Linked DNA regions of Arabidopsis thaliana. The protein of the gene in region 3 interacts with the protein of the main gene of each other region in a pairwise test. Each region holds a gene or a part of one and is shown on either strand. Other genes may lie near its edges.

Region 1 (7,191 bases), on a different chromosome or scaffold from region 3:
CATTTAATTAAGGTTGCATACAGACAGATACATACGCAACGAAACTATCAAAGCCGAAGTAACACACACACAAAAATCATATGAAGAAACTAAATTCTAAAGGGATTAGACTCTCCGAATTGATGGAGAAATGGAGAAGAAGGAAGAAAGGGCACTTCGCTGTGTACACGAACGAAGGGAAGAGATTCGTTTTACCATTGGATTATCTGAATCATCCGATGTTACAGGTGCTATTGCAAATGGCTGAGGATGAGTTTGGGACTACCATTGATGGTCCTTTAAAAGTTCCTTGCGATGGAAGTTTAATGGATCACATCATCATGCTTGTGAGAAGGAGCATGTCCCATGATTATGATGATGTGGAGAAGTCTTCCACGAGCAGCACCTGCAAGGGAGCTTCAATCTCTTCTCTCTTTCGTGGACAGAGCCAGCTTCAGTCATTAGTTTCCTAACCATTTGGAGTAATTGTTAACTTTTTTTGGAGAAGGGTTGTTCTATTTTGTGTATACCAACATGATCTTGTAATAAATTAATTATTGTAATGTATCAATGATACAGTATCATCATTTGATTTTGAGTCTTTTTTTGACGGTTAAAACAACGATTTGGGACGAAGTTATAGGCCCTGAATGGATGCTGATTTTGGATTCAGTTTTTGAATTTAGATTTTAGTTTATAGATTTTAGATTTTAGTTTCAGATTTTTATTATTATATTTTTGTTTCAAAAACCCCAAAAAATTGGTTTTTGGTTTTTGAGAAAAATAACGTTGATTGAGTAAAAACTAGATTTCCTAAATTTTAGGAGAACTAAAAAACTAAAATCATGAATGGAAAACTACAAGAAAATAATTTTTCTAAATTGTAGGGAAACCAAAATTTTAAAATCTTGATTGGTATGAAAATAAGTTTTTGGAAAACAAAAACCAAAAACTCTTACAAAATCTACAAAACATTCAATTCATGTATCCAAACTTCTTAAAGGGCCCAAAAAGGAAGAAAACATTGTGAAAGAAACAGATATAGAAATGGGCCTTTGGTCTTTAAATTGGGCCTAAGCCTTTTAATTGAGGCCTTACTAAAAGTGACGACTCACATGGTTGAATCAAATCTCAGGTAGTAAATTGTCAAAGCTGAGGAGAAAGAAAGCTTTTTCGGTCTGAAATTGAAGTGCGAATCGGGGAATCTAGGGTTTCGAGAGAGAGATAATGGGTGGAGGAGGACATGGCGGAGGTATAACTTACAAGGGAGTCACTGTCCACACTCCCAAGACTTGGCACACCGTCACCGGAAAAGGCTTGTGCGCCGTTATGTGGTACATTTCTGATTTCTCTCTTTCACCTAATTCGCTTTTGATTTTGGGACCTAGCTAATCTCGATCGTAGCTAGATCTCGCCATGGGGATTTTGGGCTAATTGATCATCTGAGGAATTTTGTATATAGAATCCATTTGAATCAAAAAATTGGATTTGTCAAATTAGTATCGGAGCTAATCAGGTAGATGTTAATTTGAATCAGATATTGCTTATGTCAATTTCAGTTCGATGAGAATGGTTGAAGAAGTAATCGCACATAGGTTTTAACTTTCCCTAGCATTCACATCTTAAAAACTCAATTTTTGGTATTTTCAGGTTCTGGATTCTGTACAGGGCAAAGCAAGATGGTCCTGTAGTTATGGTAAAACTCTTTCATTTTTTATCTTTGTCTCGCTTTTGTAAATTTTATTGGTCCTAATATCTTTCGTGGTGGCTGAATCTGATCTTGCTATTGGCAATGGATAGGGATGGAGGCACCCTTGGGATGGTCATGGTGATCACGGTCACGGAGATCATCACTAGGTAATGTCTTTACTAGTAGTATTGTCGATGGAATCATTAAGAAAGATGATTAAAAAATCTCCTTTTTCGTAGTAAACACGCATTATTGTTTATACCGTATAGCAATTCCTCAATGAAGCTAATGTCTATGCATAATGTAGAGTAGCATTTCTAAGTTGTCACTTACTAACAAGATCTCTTGTTAACTGCTATCTAGTTGGTTTTGAAGAAAGATGATAGCTTTGATCTGGTTTTGGTTCATACAAGTGGTGAAAGTTTAGAGGATCTTTAACTTCTCTATAGGATGTTCTTGATTTATATCTACTAGAATGAATCATTGAAACTCTCGGGAGTGAATGAAAATTGAGTGCCTTTATTGTGAATGTTTGTTATTAGTTTAGTGGTACATGTTTTGAGTTTTCTCTTTGTTTAGACATTGATGATTTGTAGTTATCCTCGAGTTCACCTTTCATGTAACCATATAAGCATTGCTCAAACTACTTGACACTAATCTGGTTTTGGGTTTTGCTGCTAGGTCTCACTGAACCTTTGAAGATCATGACGAAAAAAGGATCGTCTCTTGTTTTTTTCTTAATTTTCAGCTTCATATGTCGAAATAAAGAGAACTGTGAAGAAGACGTGAATTGTTTTTGTACACAACTTTGTAAGACTTGCTGCTTCTGTTTTAAGTTACTACTTGTGTGTTGCACTTCCTGATCATGTTGTTATTTTGCTGTCAACAAATTAATTTGAAATAAAACGCATTGCGAGATTCGTGTTTTTAGATCCAGCCTCCAATGATACGAATTACAAAGAAACACTAGAAATTAGTTATATTCGCTGTGTTAAGTATACAAATTAACACTTACGAAACTGAATTTGTTAATGGTTTTTATAACTATATCTGAAAACCAAAAAAAATATGCAAAATCATCAAATTGAAAATGTCTATTCTAGCAACATGAATTGTGAATAAATAAACAAACATCTATAATTCAAATTTTACTTGAATAACAATTTCATTTTGACTCTATTTTTGGTGAAGACAAAAAGTGTGCCTTCAACTTCAAGTCTTTAATCCAAGTAGCCAGTTTAGGAAACGGGTAAAAAAATAAATTATATAGAATAAAAGAATTTGATGTTGCAAACTTGAAAATAAGTTTACAAATCAATCTATTTAATGTTAACTAAACATGTCCGCTTGAAGCAAAACCTAACCGATCCGGACATATCATATATTATCTAGTTGGTGAGAATATTAAGAAGTGAAACTCTCGTCTGAATCAATCGCCGGAAAATAGATTCCAACTCTATTTCAAGCTCCACTACAGTAATCTCCGCCGCCTCCAACCTCGTAGTCGCGCTTTGCACCGCAGTCTCGTCCCATTCATCATCTAACAAATAGGAAGACCGAATGGAAAAGATCGAAGACAAAGACCCTTTGCTCGATCTCTTCTCTAGCCAAGGAATACAACCAAGTGAGAACAAAGACTCAACCATCGTCACAACGACTCTTCTCACTTCCTTCAAAACTTCTGTGACAAACAGAAGGTTCTGTTCTATTGGCATGGCCACTCTTCCTTCGTTTCCTTTCATGTTCTTCAAACAGTTTAAGCATTTCAGTGTCTCCTTCTTGAGCTTGTTCTTATACCGATTATACGCAGCTATCTTCTCGTTGACATCAGATGATTCGTTGCCACGTAGAGTCAGTTGTAGATCTTGCAAGCTGTGTTTCACGAGCGTCATCACATCTTTGGATACGTTACAGATGTCTAACATCCTCAATGAAGCTTCTGAAACTTGTTCCGTCCATTTCTCTTGTCCTTGTTGAGACAGAGATTCTCTTGTTTTCGGACAGTGATGGAGGAGATAGTTTACGCAGTCGTGTAGCTCTCTCAAACCCTCAAAGTTAATCTGAGCCATAGATAGATCTTAATCTATTCGAGATACTTAGCTTTATGAATGTAAAAAAAGAATTTGAAAAGGTATTTTTTGATGTAATTGTGAATGGTTTTTAGGGCTTCTTGAGAGTTTTAAGCGAAGATTAGAGATATATTGAATGTGTGTAAGAATGAGATTATATATAGAGGTTAAGAAGGATCTGAGGGAAAGTACGATGAAGGTTCCCAAGTTTGGGTTTTTGTACGGACGTGGGACATCCGGGGAACAGCTCATTTTGGAGGTATTATCAAAACAATGATTTAAATGATTCAAAACATGTCACAAGGAACCTTCTTTGTACGTAAGAGGCACTCGTGGATTAGGGTACATTGTGGATTCGTTTAGATTTTCAATTTATAATATATAGTTTTAAAGATTTTTATTCTAATATATAGTCTTAAGGTTTAATTATATACTATATACCATGCATGCACGAGCGACGGTGCCAGGCTGTGTTGGTAAATTGCAACAATTTGGAACAGACGGACGAATATTAAATGAGATGAGAAATGTTTAGATTTTGGATCAGACTTTAAATATTATGTTAAGGGTTTGTCAGATATGTTTTATGTATCAAGTTAAATGGATATATTAATTACCAACAAGAAAGTAATATAAGTCTTACAGTAACAGAAAACAAATAATGGTAACTACTTGATCAATATGAATATATGATCAATAATCATTTTAAAACCGGAACTTATCTTTGGCAATACATGCGATTGTGACATTGTGTTACGTGTTAACCTCTCAATATATGTTTCTGGACAAGCGAAATATTCACAGTTTCACACAAATACCAATATACCTTTTCTATAACGTGGACAGTAATAATACGCATACATTAATACATATATGTTTATATGTCTAATTTCTCTATCAATCAGGTAACCACCTCGACGGCTCGACGCATGAATACATCCTGGATTAGATTTTATGTTTAAGATCTTTATATCTCAGGTTATTTTCAACAAATTAATATCTTCCCACAAATTATATAATTAGATTCATATCCCTCCAACTCCAAATGCTGAAATGCTTTCATTTTTATTATGTTGTTAGTGCAGCAATCTTATTATTCGATTTCCCGTTTGGAAGGTATAGCTACTAATTATAACGAATAATCAACCATGCATTATATTTTCTCTGTTGTCATCATCATGTAGAGACATTATTGCGTGATTAAAAAAAGAGAAATAAGAAGACATTATTGCGTGATTATAAAAACACACAGAGAAAATAAGACATTATTGCGTAATTTCTTTAGCTATTTTTTTTGCAAACAACCCATCAAACATAAAATAAAGCCCATGAAACTCAATTAATAAGCCCATTATCTCAAATTCATCCTTACTCTGTTTTGCAACAACTTCTGATAAGAAAACTGATACACTCATCAGTCTCATGATTGTATAACTATAAACTTATGAAATATTCATAGAGTACTGAAGTGATCTGCTGATAATTGTTATCTCGAACTCGTATTCTTGACAAGTAATCGTTTGAATATGATTTAAGAACGCTGCACACAAAGTTTTACAAGTTCTAAAGATCAATATGATCTGAGAGACTTTGCCTAAACTAAAGCCAACAATACTTCACAATGAACAAAATTACATCTATACAATCTCAAAGAGTAAGCATGTTAAGAAAAGAAACTCTTGTCTTCAACAGTTTCTTATACACACACTCCAACTCTTTCTCTGTTTCTTCAATCTCATGTTCTGTTTCTCTCAACTTCTTCAGCTCATCCACATCAACTTCTTGATTCTTCTTATTAAAAATCCTCGACACAATTCCTCTCCTTGATCCTTTCTTTTGATCTCTCTGATCCTTCGTCACTACCTCAATCAACAAAGAAACCAAAACATCAAAGCTGGTCTTTTCAACTCTTTTCATTACATTAATGACATCTCCACAATCTCTCTTCCTCTTCCTCATCTTCTCCTCTGTTTTCTTCAATTGTTTGACGATGGTTCTGCTCAGTGCTCTTCTCTTAAACACGTACGCGTCTGTCTCACGCGCCACGAAAGCTTCTTGATCTTCTCCTGACTTGCTTCTGATCAATCTCCTCCTCAAGCTTGATTCGAGTTCCCTGACTTGTTCCTTTATCTCCATCAGAACGTCTCTGATCGTGCTGCAGATATCAAGAACCTCGATGAATCCGTCAGAAACATCTTCAAATCCTGTGAAAGACTTTTGAGTTTTAGTCGTTTGAAAACGGAGGAAAACTTCGACAACCTCGTACAGATTCTTTAAAACTCCAAGTTTCCGACGAGCGGACTCTGGTCTTTTCTTTAGTAACAGAAGATGATCTTCGATGGCTCGAGACAGAGGATTAACGTCTTCGGACCAGCTTGTTGAACGCACGTGTGCACCAGATGATGAAGTACAAGCCATGGCTGATTCACTCTATAGAGATAATAATGTATAGTCAACGAATGAAAAGGTTTAGCTTCTCATTAAAACGTACTCTCACCAATATATATGTATGTGTCTCTATGTACATGCATGATTAAGTTTGAATATACATATACTTGCACGTAGAGGTAAGTCAATAGGTCGACGAATATAGATACAGGCTGGAATTGGCTGTTGCAATTAAGTTTCTTCCGACAGTCTAACGACAAATCTACACTCTTCTCCTTCATGATAAATTTTCCCTCTTTTTTTTTTTGGCTTGGCATTAAATATTCATATATGGCTGAAACAACCAATTAATCACATAGGTGAACATGCTGCTTAGCAAATGATTTTCATGCAAGATCATCATGGACAATAACATTCACACGGATAATTTCTTCTTGATTATTTTGTACATTTTATTTAGGTAAATATGTGAAGTCTCTCCTGAATATCTTTTTTTTGTATTACCTTGATTTAACAACATGATGAGCAGTAATTCTTCTCTAGGTATCAATGTAATAGTTAAACAGAAAAAGACCAAATATTGAGGGGGGATCGATAAAAACCTGAAATGATCTTACTTCCAAATTTCAGTTGCTTATACTGATTGCATGTGCGGCAACCTTGGATGGGCTGCGGAAATACGAAACCAACAAGAAACAATAACCGTTGGCTGCGAAGTCGCTCTCGTAATCTCTGCAACGTTTATTATAATACCATTGGAGATTTCACAGATTAAGAAATGTCCAAATACCATTTGTATACGATATACACGCATACATGTAATATAATAGTTTTCCAATTAGGGGAAAGCTGGGAATGTGCACGAATGGGAATACTTCTTAAACTAAACCATCAACCAAGTTGGTTTCGTGACAACCTGGATGTGTTTTTATAAACGTCATGGTAGATCATAACATTCCATATACATCTATTGCTATTGTATAACTTACAAAAAAAAATAGAGCCTATTTAAACCAAAATAATAATAATCTATTTATTAACTAGGTGTTATCCACGCTTACATTT
Region 2 (7,572 bases), on a different chromosome or scaffold from region 3:
TTAGGTGAGAAAATACAATTGTAAACTAGTAAGATCATTCAAAGTCAAGAGGTCAAAAAGACACGTGGAGTTTAATAAGCCTTTTAAGGTGAGCTAGTCAGATAAACAGTACAAAATGGACCTTTGAGGGTGAACACGTGGCAGATTCGCAACGGTTGTTTGACTTCGACAGATAAAACGGACGCGTTTGACGGAAACCGCGTTATGAGCATTAAATTGCAAAAGTTCATACCAAAAGCAAAAATCCAATCAGATCCACCTTCTTTTCTTTTCTTTTCTTTTCGACCAAATTAGTCACAAATCGGATCTACCTTTTTTCTTTACGATTTACAAATATTTCTCAAAAATCCTAAAAATGACATGTATGTACTATTATATTACTTGATTTAGATGCAGTGAATCTAGCTATCAAACAACTACTTTTATAGACAAGTTAAGGAACAACAATGCAAAAATGTCAGTCATTTCATTTGCCCCCAATAAAAAAAAAATGTCAGAGAACTTGAGAGTACACTAATAAAGTATTATTGTTTAAATAAACTAGATGAACACCCATGCTACGCATCGATTTTTGTTTTTAAAATTGTCGGAAAAATATGATTATGGTTTTTTGTTGATTTTGATGTTCATTTTGATTGTTTGACAAAAAAAAAAGATGTTCATTTTGATAAATTCATCCATTTAATATAATTATTATTTTTTATGATTAGATTCATCTATAACTCAAAATATCAATTCAACTACAATATGAATATTTATATATTTATTATTCTAATATTTCACTATCATGATCACATACTATAACAGTAAATGATATACTGATATAAGTAGTTATATTACTTATGTATTTTAAAACTTGTCTAACTTAATTGTAACAAACAATTCTTTATTCCATATATTATCTCGTTATCTAGTACACAATCACATCCTGATATGCTAGTAATTTAAGTCAACATTTTAATTCTTATCCCTACCATATAATCATATAAAGTCACATGTTGTTGTTTTTTTGGTATGTCTAATGTCTAGGATGACTATTACGTGAAAAAATTATATATCAATGTTACAAAATTATCTTAACACACAAAATGTACCGAAAGAAGTTCATATGATAAATCAAATTCACAAAATATAATAATAATAAAATATTTAACTAAAATTACTAAATTAATATGAGGTTAGGTAGCAAACATCTAAACTACAACACAAGTAAATTTTTAGCCATTATAGATTAATGATTATTGATTAAATGTTTTTAATAAAATAAGTAGAATAAAATGAAAGTAGTGCTTGGTACATTATTATGACTTTTTATTTATCGAATGTTTTTTAGAAAATTCATTTAAGAGTGAGATTAACACAACAAAAGACTTTTAATTTTTTCTCAATTAGTTTTGCTAGTTTTTTTATTTAATTAATATAGAATGACACATGTCATTTTTTTGTGTGATGATGTATCATTTATATGGAGAGTGTAGGCCAATTTTCATATATATATGATTTTGAATAAAAAGAAAAATTCAAAAGGAGAAAAATAGGCAGCAAAAAGCTGTCAGTTATTACATACAGCTAAGACTTGAGTAATGATTTTGTAGTTGACTATTTCATTTCCCCTGTGGACACGCTCGGCTTACGGTTATGAAATCATGCGTTGGAGTTTTTCTTGCTTTTCCCTTTTCTCATGCGTAGAGTTTTTTTTCTTTCTTTACAATTTGTTTAACCATAGTTTTATAGGTTTGTAGCTATATGAGTGGTTAATTTATGGTCTAGCTAATTGGTCTTTTTCTTATTCAGTTTTTGCATTAAATGTAGATATCAATACTGAAAGTTGACTTTTATCAAAAATACATAACAAAGTATAAGAAAAATAACGCTTAGACAAGTTATTACACATATGCAATGTTCACCAAAGCAAGCAAGTACGAAATATACATGCATATGATAATACATGTAAACGAGATAAATCAGCATCGTAAAGATGAACTGGTAACACGGACACGAGCCATCCACATGGGTGGTACCTCCTTATGCGCGTCTTCCCTCAAAATATTGATCATTATAAAATGATGACACCATAGTCTAACCTTGCAAATTGACGCCGTATTGATTGTAGTGACATTTGTACACGATTACACGAAGCAATAAATTAAGTGATGCAACTCTATAAGATATCGTAAGATGATGAAATGTTTAATAAACTAATTAAATGGATGATATAATACGGAATTGACATTTGAGGAGTTCTCAGCCATTCATTCTAACCCTCTAGACCCTTCTTTTTTAATCTTGTATGATTTATTATCTAAATAAAAGTCTAAACCACTCATTAACATGATATCATCATTACATTGCGAGCCAAAATTATTGCTTAACAATCATGAAGTCTACGTGTGTCACATTCGGAACCTCCGAATAATTATTTTTATACTTTTTCGGTTTGATATACTTCAATATATACTATTAATTTGGATAATCTCATTCTTAATATTCTCTCAGTTCCATTTTATTGAAAATTTTCAGAAGTTTTGTTTTCGCATATATACAAAAGAATTCTAAATCTACTAGCTGGACTAGTGGACCAATTGTTGGACGCCTCTACCAAATAAATCGTAAAAATATGTTGATTTCAATTTTATCAATTTGGCTGGAATCGAAGTGCTCGTGTACATTAGTTTCAACCGCTTAGAAAGACGTCTAGCTAAATGAGTAGACAACCATTTTTTTAACTAATCTTTTAAAATTTATGGAGTTGTGTACGTCCACTCACTTCTATTTGAATAGAAAAAAGATTAATATGGTTATGGAAGAAACGTCCCATAAAGCCGGTGTGAATGTAATATAATGAAATGATTCTCCATCAAACTATGATTGTAAAATTAAAACGCTTCGATTATAGAATAAACTTGTAGAAACATTTTAACTTGTAAAAATTAACCATTCTAAAACAAAACTTGTTAAAACTCAACTTACAAACAATGTTTGATTGAAATTGAATATATATTATTTGGAGTACGTAAACATGGATGATCTTATCTGAAATAGTACATAAAATAACAAAAGAAAAAATTAATTAAACATATAAATTTGAGAAATATGAGGAGGATGGAAAAAAGAAGTCACGCCACGCCTCCTATATAAACAAGAGCCAAGCTAATGAGATAAGTGTATCGGTGAGGCTGAGAGTTATTCACTTACAAAAAAAAAAAAAAACTTGAGTGTAACCAAAAAAAAAAGTTGATATACTTTCTGGTTTTCTCCTTAACTTTTATTCTTTACAAATCCATCCCCCTTAGATCTGTTTATTTCCCGCTACTTTGATTCATTTCTGTTAGTAATCTGTCTTTCGTATAGAAGAAAACTGATTTCTTGGTTTGTATTTTCTTAAAGAGATCAATCTTTTTTTATTTTTGATCTTCTTGTGTTTTTTTTTCTTTGTAGAATTAATCGTTTGTGAGGGTATTTTTTTAATTCCCTCCTCTCAGAAATCTACACAGAGGTTTTTTATTTTATAAACCTCTTTTTCGATTTTCTTGAAAACAAAAAATCCTGTTCTTTACTTTTTTTACAAGAACAAGGGAAAAAAATTTCTTTTTATTAGAAATGACAACTTCTATGGATTTTTACAGTAACAAAACGTTTCAACAATCTGATCCATTCGGTGGTGAATTAATGGAAGCGCTTTTACCTTTTATCAAAAGCCCTTCCAACGATTCATCCGCGTTTGCGTTCTCTCTACCCGCTCCAATTTCATACGGGTCGGATCTCCACTCATTTTCTCACCATCTTAGTCCTAAACCGGTCTCAATGAAACAAACCGGTACTTCCGCGGCTAAACCGACGAAGCTATACAGAGGAGTGAGACAACGTCACTGGGGAAAATGGGTGGCTGAGATTCGTTTACCGAGGAATCGAACTCGACTTTGGCTCGGAACATTCGACACGGCGGAGGAAGCTGCTTTAGCTTATGACAAGGCGGCGTATAAGCTCCGAGGAGATTTTGCGCGGCTTAATTTCCCTGATCTCCGTCATAACGACGAGTATCAACCTCTTCAATCATCAGTCGACGCTAAGCTTGAAGCTATTTGTCAAAACTTAGCTGAGACGACGCAGAAACAGGTGAGATCAACGAAGAAGTCTTCTTCTCGGAAACGTTCATCAACCGTCGCAGTGAAACTACCGGAGGAGGACTACTCTAGCGCCGGATCTTCGCCGCTGTTAACGGAGAGTTATGGATCTGGTGGATCTTCTTCGCCGTTGTCGGAGCTGACGTTTGGTGATACGGAGGAGGAGATTCAGCCGCCGTGGAACGAGAACGCGTTGGAGAAGTATCCGTCGTACGAGATCGATTGGGATTCGATTCTTCAGTGTTCGAGTCTTGTAAATTAGATGTTGCCATAGGGGTATTTTAGGGACTTTAGAGCTCTCTGCGATGGAGTTTTTGGTCATTGCAGAGATTTTATTATTATTAAGGGGGTTTGTTATGTTAATATCAAATAAGTTTATCTACTTTGATGTTAATTAGTGTTAATCTCTGCGTCGGTCCAAGCTGTTTTTTTTTGGCATGCTTCGACCGTGTGAGATTTCTTATGTAATTTTTGTAGTTCCTTGATTTTCTTAGTTCAAGTTAAATTGGCACAAAAGAACAACGATCAAAGTAGAAGAAACTAAATTCCTTAACTATAAAAACTTGATTGGTATGAAACTGCAAAAACTCCTTCTAAATCTACAAAACATGTAACTCACTTCTCGTAATAACTAAATTCTGGAAGTGTTGCTTAGACTGTAAATGAGGAAGCATCCTGAATCAACTTTAGTGTATTTCAATCCATGGCTTTAAGCTAATCTAAGAAACCACTTTCTCTGATTATCAACAAACGTAGACACTTAAAAAAACAAGGCTTTAGTTTAATAACATAAAGCAAGATCGGTATCTTCAGATTTAGACTACACTTTAAACAAATGAGCTCAAATTAAATAGGAAAAATTAACATTCGTTTCAATCGGTGATAACAACATTTTACACTTTGTATGTTGCCTATGAAGAGATAGTGAATAGTGAAAGGCAAAGTTCAGATCCTGGAATATCTTACAGTACTACAAAATTCTTTAAATCATCGCATTGTCACAAATTCAAACCTAATGTCTAACTGTAAAACCCGTAGAGATGATTCTCCAGTAGCTGATCAAGAAAGTGTGGAGAATATCAAACAACTCAGTTGAATTTACCAATCTCCATTTTCTTCTTAATTGCTCGTTGTCCATGGTATATGAACGAATCTACTATTCCCGATACCGTGAAGATACCTGCAAATCAAAGGTATAATTTTAGTTTTGAATTTGATGATAAACATATCAGTAGGGTATGTTTAAATTGAATGGAGAAGGGATATATATATTGATTACCTCCTACTATAGCGCAAACATTTGTTAGGAAGTGCAAGAACTCCACATGTTGCTCCTCAAATATCACCTAGCCAACAATCAAAAGTTAAAATGTTTCTAGAGATATAGTCTCCGTTGGTATTAAGAACACGACTTGGAAAAAGAAAAAGAAAAAACGAACAGACCTTAATTGGCGATAGATCATAGTAGAAGAAAACACCAGGCGGAGATTGCATGCGACCTGCTTCCATGTTCTGGAAATGTTCTGTCACAGAGAACTGTTAAAAACAAAAACTCATAGGTTAGATTTTACAAGAAGAAAATGACAAAGATTTTTATATAGAGATTTGGGGATGTGGGATTTACCTGGTTTGACTGTATTGTATTCTGGTGAACATCGGTGTATATGCTTGGTACCACCTGAAATTCAACACCACAATCCATTCTTTATCCCTACGCTCAACAATCTTTCTAGCATGCAAAAGCTACCGATAAAGAAATTCTTATTGCATTGGTCAACAAGCATAATGTATTAATGTCTTTGTACTTCTCTATCAGTAACCTGAGCTAATAATGAGCCTTTTAGGAATCTCAAAATTTTGTACCTAAACTATTGTCCCAGGTGAGAGCATTGTCTATAGATATAATGTACAAATGAAGCAAACCTTGATGAAGTATTGATAGACGCCACTCTGTTTCCCCTGATTCCACTGCACACTGAGAGAACCAAGAGAATGTTTCAGAAGATAGGATTATTGAAAAAGCGATAACAGGTGCGAGTAATGGCTATATAATTGAGTTTTTACCCATCAAGAGGGTTCACTACACCGGGGAAAAAGTCTCCAAAGGCCAACCTGTTGACCTTGTGGCTAATCTGTGTAATGATATAATAGAGTCAAGACCCATTTGAAATATGAGCTTATAAAGAGAGAATGAAACAAAAATAAAACTTTTCTTACATTGTAGTTGCCTTGCTGGAACAATAACATATCATGAAATTGAAAACCGGATTGATGAAAGCTTTGCCCAGGAATGAAATGAAAGTTCCCAGCAACTTTGTTAACTTCCAAGAAACCGTGAACATTACAACCTTCACCTTCTTCATCTTTTACCTTTTGCACAAAGCCTTCTCTTTTACACTGAAATGAAATGATGAGTAAGAATATCATACAACTAGATGTGGGGATAGCTGAAACGAAAGACCAGATACCCATGGTTTCTTTAGATATATCCATTTTAGTGCCAAACAAGGTGTCACTATTTGTTTCAAACTAAGTACCAAGATCAACCCAATTTTGTTGTTAGTGAAGGAACGTCAGTATACCTGGTCGATTGATTCAGGGTCCGAGAGGGCCCAACCTTTCTTTCGGTAAGCTTCGCGAACTTCCTCACATGAATTACAACAAGCATCATCTGACTGTAACATGTAAGCAATGACAACCACAACATGTAACAAGGATAAAAAACATTTCACCACCATAGAAGAAACTAAAATGTAAATTAACTGAATCAACACTAAAGAACTCAGTTGAATATTCTCTACTGCAACTTAAAGTCCAATATCGCTTGTCAGAGCATATTCTTAGAATAATTTAGGGAAGCTTACCGCTTCTGCTCCAAAACAGGAACCACAGTATGTTTCATTGTGTTCCAACCTTCCACCATGTTTTTGTAAAGGTTTTTCAATCTATGGATAAACAATAACATTAGGTAATTAGAGACATAACGAAGCAAACAAGACAGAACTTCAACACTTTCAATCTCTTAAAACTTCTTGCAATGAGATCAGAGATGACACATGAAAATGAAAAATTTCAAAACCATAGAAAAACCAACCTTAGTATGACCAATTCCGTCTTGTTTTGCCTCGATGACATTGCCAGAAGAGTCTAATCTCCTTTTAATAATGTCATGTCGCTGCACCATACAAACGAACAGAATCCAAAATCAGACAAAGTAAACACACACATAATCTCAATTTGAAAAGAAAAAAACAAACGTAATGGAACAAAACAATTCACCAGGACATACCACATCAAGGTGCCTCTCCCCACTGATATCCATGGAATCAAGACTAATAATCGAACATTGAAGCGCAGGGAATGTAACATCAAACTACAAATCGTATATGACAAGTTATTAAAAGCACTCCCTTAAACAAAAACTAGTAAGCAAAAGAACAAAGTTTTA
Region 3 (8,151 bases):
AATTCATCTTTTTTTATATTATAAATCATAGTAACGTACTACATTTGAATGCAGGGTAGAAGTAGAATTTCTTTTCTTTGTATTTCATTTGTTTTGTTAGTAATTTGCTGTGGCATAGCTGTTCTCTTACACAGATGGTATAAGAACAGCTATACCACAGCAATTGGTCATACTATATATTAATATGCAAGTAAGTATGTATGGTAAAAGAATTAAAAAACGAATTTATGGTTATGAATAAGTATTGACCAATGACCATTTCTTGTAATTATAAATAGACTTAATATGTACATGCCTGCAAATTGATAAGCAAGAAAAAACAATAGTAAATATAACAAGATTTAGTTAAAGGATTTGAAAGTGTGTAAGAAATTGAATTGTATGAAGATGGAATCCTCAAAAATGTTGGTTGTATTCACCCTCATGGTTCTCATCGCAGTCTCCTCCGATCTAGTCTCCGGTATCTAAAAGCTCATTTAAAATTTTCAGCATTATTTACCAAAATACCTCTTCAAGTTTTTAAAAGTATTTTTAAAACAGAAAAGTATTCTTTAAATTATTATTATTGTAACATTTGTGGTTTTATTTTAGGAGTGGGTTTTACTTATTTGTGTGTCTTAAATACATTTTGTCAATGAATTTGATTTCCGAATAGGTAATTTTGCATCCGGGGAGGCTTCGAGTCAACTGTGCTTCAATCCTTGCACTCCTCAACTTGGCAATAACGAGTGCAATACGATTTGTATGAACAAGAAATACAAAGAAGGTTCTTGTGTTGGTTTTGGAATTCCCCCTACTTCCAAATATTGTTGCTGTAAAACTTAAATAGTTATTAATTAGAGTTTGAACGATAATAATATTGATATGTTTTTTACTAGTTGAATAATAATATAAGATTTGATCTAATGAGATTAGCACATTTTATTGATTATGTATTTATGTTGATATATTTTGAATCTGATAACACGCTTCTAGCGATAGGAAGTGGATCTCGATGACCTTGGCACGGCTCGCGAGTCCGGTCAATTTAGAAGTGATTTGCGTTTCTATGAAGTTTGGGATGTTATAACAAGTTGCTTCATGGTTCATGCAATTTGTTTTTGTTTTTCATGCAATTTGTTAGTTTTATCTTAGTTTACTTTGTTTTGTATCTTTGGTGTGTAACAAGTTACTCCTCGTAGATTCGATTACAATCGTGCTACAAAGGCATTTCATCATGCATATGCGATATAACGTAGCTGATTGGCTTTGCGAATTTGAGAAACTTAAGGCCCAGCTCAGTTTAAACCTGTTGTAAGAAACAAAATTGTTGTGTTTGAGATTTATTATCTAGTCTTGTCATTTGGATCGACAAACGCAGACCCATATCCAAATTCTATTATATATAATAACACAACTTGTTGAAGTCAAACTTAGGATAGAAAGAAATCAAGATTTTTTTATCTTCCTTTGAAATGTGGGCAGGTTACTACATTGCCAAAGACTACACAATAATGGTCAATTGGCTTGTATAGTTAAAAAAAAAACGAAAATAATGGAAATAACTATGAGTTAATAGTTAATTAGTTATGACTCGTATGGCCAAACGACCATGTCATGTAACTACAAATAGACTTAATAGCGTGCAGAGAGATTTGTGTGATGAAGAAATACAAAGGAGGTTCTTGTGTTCCCTATGGAATTCTCTTTGTTTTCCAAAATTGTTGTTGTAAAAACTAACTAATTATTACTTATAAATTCTCTCCCCAGTAATATACACATTTTTTCTCATACAATATCTATAAGTACAAGTATATAATTTATTTATTTCATATCATTGCATGATTTTATTGTATTTTTATGGCCGCAAGGTTCAATGAATGGTTAGGCGTATGTATTTTTTTTTCCAATAATCCAAGAGACTAGAATGGACCACATATTTATAAAATACTATGATGTGTATGTCTCTATACACATACATAAGTGTCATTCAGTCAATTACAGAATTTCAAAGTAGCATCTAGCTACTACTTAATTTATGTTATAGTTGATAGTAGCTATTTTTGATATATCTCATCTCACTGTATGAACAGTTTTATAACTTGGGTTTGGTGTTTCGAACAACGTTGACTATATATTTTCTATTTTAATCTTTCATACACATTTTCTCATAGTGGATAACTATTTAAATCTTCCTTTTAGGTGTATTACTATTTATTTGTGCTGATTTCAAACCAATCATAAGGGAAAACAAGTCGATTATTTCTTTTTTCTTGTATTATGAAATTGAAAACTCCCCTTTATGAGTCTATGACCAATTAAATATAATCACTATTGTCTCCTGCTCCACCAAATGTGTTCTTAATCATCAAAATCAAGATGGTGCAAATAGAATAATAAAACTATAACACCAGAAAATTTTCGTACAAGTTGAAGACCTTTTAGGTATAACGAATGGAAAGTTCTTCGAATTGGAAAATAAGAACAATTAGTGGAAGAAAATGCACAAGAAATCCAAGATTAAGAATACACTTAACTCTTAAAATACTAAGTATGTACGTAACACACTTATCAACCATCTTATGACCTTTTGAGAGTCGACTAATGTAAAGTTCTTCGAAGCAGAAAAAACAATTAGTAGAAGAACAAAGTCAAGATAAAGGTACACTAGCTGTTATCCTCTTAGGTTTTATAACTTTTTTAAGTGTAAACAAATAGAAACCTTTTCGGATCAAAAAAAGTAGAACAAAAAAAAAAAAAAGAGTCAACATAATAATAGACTAAGCTCTTATATTACAAAGTATGTAACACAATTACAAACCCCCATTAAAAAAAAGTAAAAATAAAACAAATAAGATCAAGAAGCAAAATAAATAAGACATTATGATAGATTCAAAGCATTATTATTATGATCATGATGATGATGAAACATCAACATGTCGCTACCAAAACTCTCTCTATCATCTTCGCTTCCACCATTGACATAAAAAGTCGAAGACGAATTCAACGGTGTCGAGCTGCTCGATGAAGTTCCCGCTAGCATTGATGAACTGAAATTCCATCCGGCCTTAAAATTCTCACCATCATTAATGTGGTCGGATACAAATGCGGCTGATGAGTAGTTTCCGGCTTGAGGGACTTTGTTATTAGATGGATCACCTGTACCGGTATAACTGTGATAATCTCCCAAGTATTCTCCATTGTTTTGCCATTGAACGGGTGGTGTTGAGTTGAGCAAACCGGTGAAAGTGGTTTGGTCAGTGTTTAGGTCGTTTTGAAGCTGTTGGTTTGGTTGGTATGATTCGGTCTGAACGTTGTTGAGAGAGGCAGTGAGATGATTCAAGATATCAGGATTAATATTTGAAGTAGTGAGATCAAATGGAGTATTCATCGGTTGTGACATAGATTTAAACAATGATGAGGTAAGAAACGAAGAGAGCTGGAGAAGATTAATGCGGGGACAATGAGTCACCGGATCAATCCCCATTCGTAAGAGTTTCTTTTTAATATGTGTGTTCCAATAGTTTTTGATTTCATTATCTGTTCTTCCTGGTAAGTGAATAGCAATTGCGGACCATCTATAGAAGAAAAAATATCGTGTTATAGATTTTAAGTTAAAATCAAAAAGAGAAGTATAAGTTTTAACTTGTTAAGATATTAGCTGCAGCGAGTTGAAGATTGCATGCTTAGCTTTAGACATTTGACCTTGGTATAGTGCTTAACTATGTTCTTGTCTTTTAGTTGAATAAAATAAAATATGCAAGTAATATTATAACAAAAATGTAAAGACATGGAAGTCCAATGAAGTAGGTGTAGTAGTGGAAAACTAGGTCATTTTTTACTTAATTTAATCATACATGTAAACAATTATACACTAAATGAAGAAATGAAAAATTGCAGATAGACTAACTTGTTTCCAAGAAGACGATGAAGTTGAATGATGGTTTCTTCCTCTTGAAGAGAGAACTCTCCTCTCTTGATATCGGGTCTTAGATAATTCGTCCATCGCAATCTACAACTCTTCCCGCATCTTTTTAACCCTTTTAAGATTCACACCAAGAAAAACGAATAAGAACCATGATTGTTTTAATTTTAATTCTAACGTTGACATGATCTAGCATGATAATCATTATTAGTAAATTTTAAACATAAACGTAAAACAAAACGCAGGAAAACATATTGTAGCTGATAGGATTTAGCTATTTGTATATATACATGCGTTAGGGTAGGAATTTACCGGCGTTCTTGGGAAGGGTACGCCATTTGCCGGGACCGTGCGTTTGAATATAGCCTACGAGCTTCTCGTCTTCCTCCGGAGTCCATGGCCCTTTCTTCACTTCACTTTCCTCCGAGCTTGAAGATTTTCCCATCTTTTTCAAATGTTATATGTGAGAGAACTAGAGAGAGAAGCTAATAAGCTTTGAGAACTTGATTACAGAGAAAATTTGGTTTCTTCATGAATTATGATTTATGTATATACAAATATATATATGGTACATGCAAAGTCAAGTCAAGGAGATTTGGTACCGCCCTTCCATCATCTATCTAAATACGTGTCTTTTCTTGATGAAATACGGAGACAAAATGAAGTAGAAAAAAACTGCTTATTATGTTGACAAAACAAAAGAGTAATTTTTACTCTCTATCTTTAAAGTCCTTACTAACAAACAAAAAGCTCTGACCAAAGAAAAAAAGTAATAAACAAAAAGCATGAGACTAAACCATCTCTATTAACCCTAAAAATAATTAATATTGATGGAGTGAGAACACATGGCAGAATATGGGTGGTGTATGAGGACGTGTGATAGATATGTGAAGAAGGTTCCATTTGTTTTGGTCTCTTTGTCTCAAATCATCAAACAGTTTTCAAGATAGCTATGTTGCGTGTATGTTTAATGTTTACTCATCTGTCATCACTATAGCAATATCATATACATAAATAGACAGATTCAAAATAAGAATTTTATTGAATAAGGTGTGGTTACAGTGATTATACTGAATAAATATGCTTATTTAGCCTTCTAAGTTTTGTATACAAATAATTTCTCTTCTAAGGAGAAAATAAAAAGGAAATATGTAAAGAATGATTACGATAGTGTAAAAAAGTAAAAACAATAAAAATCCAAACGGATCTCCAGTGTGCTTCATCGGTTGGAAATAGATATATATCATCGTGTCATCAAATTTCAGTAGCAAAGCTAGATTGTCCTGCTTGAATTAAGACATCCGATCGAAGTGACTCAGTTTGAGTAACGTCCTGCATCGCACCAGAGTTTCTGTTTACTTCAATAACAATTACATAACGACAAGTTTGAATAACTGATAATCTAAGACATGTATTTTGTTTTTACTAAGTTAGGTAAATTAACGACAAAGCGTTGTTGCAGTGCAACATACGTAAAGAACAAGGCATGTTAACGGTCAAAATACATGTGTGATTAATGAAACAATACTATATAATATACATGTGTCATTGAATTGCAGAGACTTTGGTCTCAGTCCGAAACATGGTTGATTTGACAAGTCAGGGATTTGAAATTTTTTGATTTGATATTTGTAAGAAATTATTACTATTTTAGTTAAATTTGGTTAGTATAAGTTTTAGATTATTTGGAAAACAAGTTATCGGCCGGTTTAAGAGTGATTATATAGAAAGGTTTGGTATTAGAGAAGAATGATAAAGTGACTTTTTAAATTAGGAGAATGACCAATTTATCATTGTTTAGTGCATAGGCGTATTTGACAAGTAACCCCTTGCTCTTGTTACATGTTAAATATTATTGTGTCATATAAAGAGGTAAAATTAATTCTACACTTTATGCGGTATAGCCGTATAAAACATGTTAGGTTGATAATAAACAAGTTATCATAACGTTTTCAACAAGTGCCAAAAATATAAACTTACACTAACACTAAACCGTATATATCGTTTTTTTTAATATAATATTATTTCTATAACATCGATATATCTAGTAAATAGTTATTTTGCGTCCATATAATTCATATTTTTCGTTATATAACAATGAAATGAGTGTTTTTCCACGGTATAGAATATTTTACATGTAAACTTTAAATCATATCATTGTCTCACAGGGAATTGATTCATGAAGGTAAATTTTGTGATGCATGTTTTAAAAATAAAAGACTGCTTTATCAAAAAAAAAAGTAGACCCTTTAACAAAGAAAAAAAGATCCTGCCAAAAATGAATAATGATAATTAGTTATTAAGACGACAAGAAAATTCAGATAATGTGGTCAAATATTTAATTTCTCAACTAAAAGGAAATACAATACATTGTTATTGGTAGATTATGTTATTGCCTGGTTTATCTACAACAATCCCAACAACCCAATCGTCTTAGTAACATTAAAATAATCGCTGTCACAGGAAATTTTGATGAACTCAAGCCTCGTTTCAGATTTATCAGTTTTCTTATAACTTTGCATCTACCAATTATGCAAGTCTTTTCATAAACTAATCTATCGATTATGTAAGTCTTTTCATAAACTAATCTATCGATTATGCAAGTCTTTTCATAAACTAATCTATCGATTATTTAAGTCTTCCGCATGTAAATTCGTTAATCAGCTACCATCTTCATTTTAGTTTGGTATAAGAAGTTATTTATACTGTATGATCTAAATTACATTTAAATATTAAGGGTTATTTTTTCTTTTTTCCGAATGAAGTTCTATTATTGTTTAAGACTTTCACGCCTCTAAGGCCGATGGCCGACCATAGAGACAAAGACATGGACTGAAACTAATGATCGAAATCACCTTGCTCATTTATCTTTCCAATTTCTTTTATATAAACAAATTATAAACAAACACACACAAAATAAACAGACGTAACTTAACCTTTAATTCTTATTTTTAAGAAACAATGACGTAACGATTTAGCAAAAAACACCTAACCTTAGATTTCATGGTGTATAATATATCCACGACGCCTTGAACACGTACAAGTGTGGTAGCAAGCACTAGCAACATAGTAAACTAAAAAAAAATTGCCAGCAGCATAGTAAACTAATTATTCTCTTGGATTTTTCTCATATTCGGATATATAGCATATTTTTTAACTTATCTTAAAATCAAAGTTAGGATTAATTAAAAAAAAAAAATCAGTAACATCATCTTTATTTTAGTTTAACCTCATAATACGAATACCTTAGCAAAAACTATTAGTAGTTATAAATGTCCCAAAACAATTTTGTCATAAATGTCCAATTATGTGTACTGGTTTTTTGACTCTTTAAAAAAAAAAAAATTGTTGTCTTTTGATTTCTGCCCCTTTATTGATGTTATATCCTATGCTTATTTTTTTTTTTTTTTTTATTTTTTTTTTATTTTTTTTTTTTTTGTCACAAATCCTATGCTTTGTTTTCTTTATCTTTCTTGGCATATATTCAACAAACAAACAAAATAGTCTAGAGACTATAGACTATAGACCACAGACTATAGAGAGACACCATATCCAAATTAATTGAACGAGTCATCTATATATACATTTTTGCAGCCATTTTAGCAAATAAATCCTAGACTTTGATTTATTTACAATCTAATGCCATTAGCATTAAATCTTTTTTCTAAAATAATTAATTTTACTTTAAATTTTTGATTTAAATTGTCAATCACATTATCAATCAAATTTAATCCCACCAAACTTCAAATCAATCCCTTAAAATTAGCATAAACATATTTGTTAACAATATTTTAAAACAAAATTTTTTGTTAAATAAATATTATTCTTACTTAACGTTTTTTGTTTAAATAAATAAATTTTGTATTTGAACTTATTTACAATGTCATGTCACTGACATTAATTAATTATTAATGAAAATATTTAATTAAAGATTTAAATCTTTTAAATCCTTGCTTTTAGAGTTATTATGTCATTACCTTATAAGCAAAAATATTAACTTTTTAAATATTATTATTTATATATTTAAAATTGATAAAACATTATTAATATTTAAACTTATAAAAAGTTTGATATATTACAAATTTTTAACATCATTATATAATATATAGAGTTTAAAAAAATCTTAATTTTTTCCATCATATTGTATGATTCAATATTTTTAAAATGAACATATATTAACCAATTAGCAAAACAATGTGTGGGTTCAACGTCCCGCATCGACAAAAATATTTAGACAATGATTTATA

Evidence for each region.
Region 1: the proteins of MYB49 (region 3) and AT1G76210 interact in a two-hybrid assay, tested with the Arabidopsis thaliana proteins (one large-scale study listed by BioGRID).
Region 2: the proteins of MYB49 (region 3) and AT1G22190 interact in a two-hybrid assay, tested with the Arabidopsis thaliana proteins (one large-scale study listed by BioGRID).

What each region holds. Positions count from the first base shown.
Region 1 is NC_003070.9:28,592,145-28,599,335, forward strand, and holds AT1G76210 (DUF241 domain protein, putative (DUF241)), read right to left. Parts: upstream 3,853-7,191; 5' UTR 3,739-3,852; coding exon 3,058-3,738; 3' UTR 2,806-3,057; downstream 1-2,805. Other genes in the region: AT1G76190 (SAUR-like auxin-responsive protein family), read left to right, coding at 81-452; AT1G76200 (NADH dehydrogenase ubiquinone 1 beta subcomplex subunit), read left to right, coding at 1,207-1,313, 1,630-1,675, 1,780-1,836; AT1G76220 (hypothetical protein (DUF241)), read right to left, coding at 5,386-6,156.
Region 2 is NC_003070.9:7,832,645-7,840,216, forward strand, and holds AT1G22190 (Integrase-type DNA-binding superfamily protein), read left to right. Parts: upstream 1-3,136; 5' UTR 3,137-3,600; coding exon 3,601-4,386; 3' UTR 4,387-4,767; downstream 4,768-7,572. Other genes in the region: AT1G22200 (Endoplasmic reticulum vesicle transporter protein), read right to left, coding at 5,213-5,304, 5,404-5,470, 5,568-5,660, 5,749-5,802, 6,048-6,099, 6,189-6,256, 6,342-6,521, 6,707-6,799 and 3 more.
Region 3 is NC_003076.8:22,013,497-22,021,647, forward strand, and holds MYB49 (myb domain protein 49), read right to left. Parts: upstream 4,566-8,151; 5' UTR 4,350-4,565; coding exon 4,217-4,349; intron 4,020-4,216; coding exon 3,890-4,019; intron 3,558-3,889; coding exon 2,861-3,557; 3' UTR 2,647-2,860; downstream 1-2,646. Other genes in the region: LCR83 (low-molecular-weight cysteine-rich 83), read left to right, coding at 382-460, 656-825.